2 linked regions of the Saccharomyces cerevisiae S288C genome follow. Each later gene encodes a partner of the first gene's protein in a complex. Each region holds a gene or a part of one and is shown on either strand. Other genes may lie near its edges.

The links. Proteins that work in one complex are often made in the same cells at the same time.
Region 2: SNP1 (region 1) and RDS3 share a complex: the UniProt entries of both Saccharomyces cerevisiae proteins name them as parts of the spliceosome.

What each region holds. Positions count from the first base shown.
Region 1 is NC_001141.2:244,157-247,221, reverse strand, and holds SNP1 (U1 snRNP complex subunit SNP1), read left to right. Parts: upstream 1-1,662; coding exon 1,663-2,565; downstream 2,566-3,065. Other genes in the region: YIL059C (uncharacterized protein), read left to right, coding at 307-672; YIL060W (uncharacterized protein), read right to left, coding at 396-830; ARC15 (Arc15p), read left to right, coding at 2,760-3,065. UniProt on the Saccharomyces cerevisiae protein: Involved in nuclear mRNA splicing.
Region 2 is NC_001148.4:718,710-721,460, forward strand, and holds RDS3 (U2 snRNP complex subunit RDS3), read left to right. Parts: upstream 1-1,927; coding exon 1,928-2,251; downstream 2,252-2,751. Other genes in the region: ubiquitin-protein ligase ASR1, read right to left, coding at 849-1,715; Arf family guanine nucleotide exchange factor SYT1, read right to left, coding at 2,328-2,751. UniProt on the Saccharomyces cerevisiae protein: Required for pre-mRNA splicing. Involved in regulation of drug sensitivity and may play a role in multidrug resistance.

The sequences.
Region 1 (3,065 bases):
AACTGACTTTGATTATTATTTAGTTAGTAGGCAACTGTCATGTTGCAACCACAACAAGCAACAATCCTTTCACCATGACTATTATAAGCGGCCGGCAAAATTGCCGGGAAAACTGCCAGGGATATAATGCAACCTTCATTTGAGCACTTAAAATAGAAGATAACGTTGGTAAACCCCCCTTGATAGTGGACACATCCTACGTAGATCTCTCTACAGCCAAGTCGTATATATAGCAGCAAATTGCAACCAACCACATGGGACATAGGAATGAGTGGTTTTCTCAGACCCTGAACGTGACCGTCCATCATGAATTTCTCCACAGTTTTTCAAGCAATAATCGCGGTTTTAGGTTTAACTACAGTCACAGCTTTAGCAGAATTTGATTTCGACGTAGGCTATGAAGAGTTTGTCCGTACCAATCCTGATACGATTTTCTTAGAGAGTGATATTGGCCTGCACGTTGGATATACCGAGGGTGGCGAACGACAGATAGCAACGATACCACACAATTCCACGCTAGGGACTTCACTACGTGAGTATAGTGGCTGTGGTGGTAATGGTACAGAAACCTCCATCGCTACCCCCGCACCTACAATGAGTGAGGTACCTATCGCTACCTTCGTGAAACGTAGAAAAAGTGTACCTATCTTGCTACCGCAGGTATGTATGTGAAGAGTTGGTGAATTTTGAGATAATTGTTGGGATTCCATTTTTAATAAGGCAATAATATTAGGTATGTAGAATGTACTAGAAGTTCTCCTCGAGGATTTAGGAATCCATAAAAGGGAATCTGCAATTCTACACAATTCTATAAATATTATTATCATCATTTTATATGTTAATATTCATTGATCCTATTACATTATCAATCCTTGCGTTTCAGCTTCCACTAATTTAGATGACTATTTCTCATCATTTGCGTCATCTTCTAACACCGTATATGATAATATACTAGTAACGTAAATACTAGTTAGTAGATGATAGTTGATTTTTATTCCAACAGTATGGGAGGTATATGAACCCCTACAACCACTCATTTAGAAGTGGGGGACTGTAGTTCTTTTATGAAGTAACGAAATTTTATGAAGTAACAACAAATGTTGTTAATTGTAATCTTAATAATCTAACATTTAATAAATCTTGACCTTAGACTTTTTTGTCTATTCATAATATGCTGATATTACTTTTCTTAAATATAAATATAATCTATATAATATTATTAACGAAATGTAGGAAGCTAAAAAAAAAAAAAAAAAAAAGAAAGAGACTTTTATGCGTATATTTAGGTACCCCGGTACTTACTTCTGTATATATAAATCAGTGAATCAATACATATTTTTTTTTAATGTTTTGTCCTTATAACGCGACTTATTCAAAAGAAAAAAAGAAGTCCCATGCAAAAATCTTGTCATTATTGCGAATGGATATATCAGTGAGACCTTTTTAAGGTTGTAGGGAAAAGGAAGTACGCTTCATTACAATTTCGTTCATGTCTTGCTCGCCTACTTGTTTTGCTCATAAATCCCATCAGCACCATTGTATGCGCCCTTCGTAGGAAATTAACGCATCTGAAGAAAAAAAGAACTGCAAGATAATGACACACAGCACGGTCATCGACTGTCGAAAGGAAACCTTAAAAAAGTAATCGGCACCTCAACCTTGATGAATTATAATCTATCCAAGTATCCAGACGACGTGTCGAGACTTTTCAAGCCAAGGCCACCTTTATCTTACAAAAGACCAACCGATTACCCATATGCGAAGAGACAAACAAATCCAAATATCACTGGCGTTGCAAACTTACTATCAACCTCTTTGAAGCACTATATGGAGGAGTTTCCTGAAGGATCTCCAAACAACCATCTCCAAAGATACGAAGACATCAAACTTTCCAAGATCAAAAATGCTCAATTGTTAGACCGGAGACTACAAAATTGGAATCCTAACGTTGACCCTCATATCAAGGACACAGATCCCTACAGAACGATATTTATTGGGAGGCTACCATACGATCTTGACGAAATTGAACTGCAAAAGTATTTTGTTAAGTTTGGCGAGATCGAAAAAATTAGGATAGTCAAGGACAAGATAACCCAGAAGAGTAAAGGCTACGCCTTCATAGTTTTCAAAGACCCAATAAGTAGTAAAATGGCATTCAAGGAGATTGGAGTACACAGAGGTATCCAAATCAAAGACAGAATCTGCATAGTCGACATAGAAAGAGGCAGAACCGTTAAATATTTCAAGCCAAGAAGATTGGGCGGCGGCCTAGGAGGCAGAGGCTATTCCAACAGAGACAGCAGGCTTCCAGGAAGGTTTGCAAGCGCAAGTACATCAAATCCCGCCGAAAGAAATTATGCTCCCAGGCTGCCACGCAGGGAAACTTCTTCCTCCGCATATAGCGCTGATAGATACGGCAGTTCCACATTGGACGCGAGGTACCGTGGAAACAGGCCATTGCTCTCCGCCGCCACTCCTACTGCTGCTGTTACTTCTGTATATAAATCTAGAAACTCACGGACTCGAGAGTCTCAACCAGCTCCCAAAGAAGCGCCCGACTATTGAATATAAGTAATACTTAAACTCTGCTACTTGTTGTCTATGATTACCCGCACATCAGTTAATTTGGATACTTTTTTCCCTTTCTCAGACTTTGCCCCTATAACAAAATAAGAGAAAAACAGCCCGCATTTAACACAAGATACTATAGCAAAGGAGACCAGAGAAGACTCAACACAACACACGCGAACGATCAAGCAATGGAAGCCGATTGGAGGAGAATTGACATCGATGCATTTGATCCAGAGAGTGGCAGACTAACCGCTGCCGATCTGGTACCACCATACGAAACTACTGTCACATTACAAGAATTACAACCTCGAATGAATCAATTGCGCTCGCTTGCCACAAGTGGTGACTCTTTGGGAGCCGTTCAATTACTCACAACCGATCCTCCATACAGTGCAGATGCTCCAACAAAGGAGCAATATTTTAAGAGCGTCCTTGAAGCATTGACACAAGTCAGGCAAGCCGATATTGGTAATGTAATCAAAAATTTGAGTGAT
Region 2 (2,751 bases), on another chromosome or scaffold:
ATTAAATCAGTTATTTTTTATTTTGTAGTCATCAATTAGCCCCTTCGTTAAAGAGACCAATCTAGTACAGTGTGAATATAAAAAAATCATCATAATAAACTAGTCCGCAACAGTCTCTTTTATCATCCAAATCAACTGATAAGGAATAAATTGAAATAAGAAACAAATTTCCGAAAAAATCAGATGTCTTGTGACCAATCATCAATTCTCCACTAAAGAACCATAATGCCATCAACATCGCTCCTTTAAAAAATTTGTACACAAAAGAACGATGAGAGTAGACGGCGACCCTTTAACAGATACTAATATGTCCGCCCGGTCGACAACAAATCATCATATCAAAAGGAAAATTAAAAATTCCATTGCAGGCATGAAAAAGATAATAATGAAAGATAAATGCTTTCTTTTCTTCCCTTCCGTGGCACCCCTCATACAAGGCTGAAACTTAACGAAAAAGGGTTGTCGACATGTAGTTAAACCACTATTCAGTCGGAACAATTGGTATATGATTAATAATTTTTAATCATAGGGGAGTCACACAGAAAGAAAATGGAAAAAGAAAAAAGGAACTCATATATTATCTCTTCCAAGGGACCTACTGGTCGCTTAATCTGCCTCTTTGTAGTGCAGTAGCACTCACAATGGTGCTATATTTGAGTTTGTTCAACTGTTTTCTATTGAAGACGAAGAAGCAAACAAAGGAAGATGTGAAAAAAAAATTCTATGGGTCAAACTTGTGCTTTTATACGTCGTACGAGAGATGGGTCACCCGCTTCTGAGGGTTTTTTTTAGGGCTCATACTAGAGTATTATACTGTTTATATCTTGTTTTAATGTTATATTGCATTACTACTCATCATGACAGTAAATTAGGAGTTCTGTGTGCACTCCAGTTCGGGCTAAAGAGTCGTAATCGTACTGGTCAGGCAGGTACTTGTTGTCAGAGAGACGGTACAACTTGCGGGATACTTGCTTGTTGACGTGCTTGTAGGCATCCTTGAAGCGCAGCAGAGGCAGTGGGTACCGGTCCAGTGCTCGTCGCACGTGCATCTGGATTTTGTGCTTGGCATTCCGTATCTGTTCATACATCTGCTGTGTCTTGACGCTGTGCTTGTCCCGTAACTCACCAGCAAAAATCATGGAATTCCTGGAATCGTAGCTAGCAAGTTGGCTACTGATAGCACCCATGCGCAGCTCGAGCAATGCATTTGATCTACAATCTGTGCACTCCTGCCACGTATTGCGATCGCCCACCTCACAAGCTAGCCCGCGTAGACATGTTTCGTGATATATTGCTTCGCAGTCTTGGCAATACAGGCTTAATCGAGAAACATCTGTGTCTCCGCATATGCTGCACTGAATTATCTTAATGGTATCCATCACCAGCGTACCTCTAAGCCTTTCGCTGAGAAATTCTATTTCTTGGTCTTGCTCCCCTGTATCGTCCTCATTTCTTTCGTTAGTTGTTTCGGCCCCCACATAATCGATAGCATTCTTAATCATAAACCCCATCTTCAAATTTATAGAAAGTGCATGTTGCCCTTCGCCAACTTCTAAATGGGTGGATTCAACCCTGCAGATGGGGCACTTCAAGTTGATACTATACTTGTGCCACTCTCTTATACAGTTTAAGTGGAATTTATGCCCGCAAACGTTCAAACATCCAAATTGTTCACCCTCTTGGTCATCTGCCAAACAAATAGGACACTCTTCCATCTTTTTATATGATATTTGGATATTTGGCTGAGGGTATGGTCTCTCCCTTGGCTCAACTCCTTGCATCTTTTTTTCTATTTTTTTTTCTCACTTTCTGTTCTTCCATATATGCATTACTTGCCATATTTCTCACTTACTAAGGCATTCAACATAGAAAATGAAGATGGATACAAAAAAGATCCACACACATACAAGCCTCCAACAAAAAAAACATGTCCCGCCATCAGTTTGATCTAATAATGTGCCTAAAGCAGCCTGGTGTACAGACAGGTCTTCTTTGTGAAAAATGTGATGGCAAATGTCCTATCTGCGACTCTTATGTAAGGCCCAAAAGGAAAGTTAGAGTATGTGAAAACTGTTCGTTTGGTAAACAAGCTAAAAATTGTATAATTTGTAATCTAAATGTTGGAGTCAATGACGCATTCTATTGTTGGGAGTGCTGCCGCTTAGGTAAAGATAAAGATGGCTGTCCTAGGATCTTAAACCTTGGCAGCAATAGACTGGATAGACATTTCGAGAAAAAGAAAAAGGTATAACACATACATATAGAATATGTAAAAATATATAAATAAATAACATGCATTTATAACCCATGGTACTATTTTCTTCCCCTTATTCGTTACTATATTCGTCGTAACTACTGTCGCTCACGCACACTTGCAAACTGTTCTCGTTGAATAAGAAGCTTTCCTCTATATCATCTATACCATCACTATCGTCGTTATTGCCTTGCCCCTCCTCTTCTCCTTTACCATGCTCTAAGATATTCTTTTCAGCCTGCTTGCGAGTCACTTCTTTTATGATACTTACAAACAGCTCGCTTCTCTTAATTTCGTAGATTAACCAGTCCATTCTGACAGCCAGCTGTCTTATGCGGTTTATCATATCTGTCTTAGTCTTTGTGCTAATAGGAACACATTTTCCCATAAGCATCAGAGTGCTTTCAAATTTTTTCAATTTCTCCCATTTGGCTGATTTTATAGACCTAAGTCTTTCCATCCTCTGCAAAATGGTAAGCTTTCTCTTATTACAAATA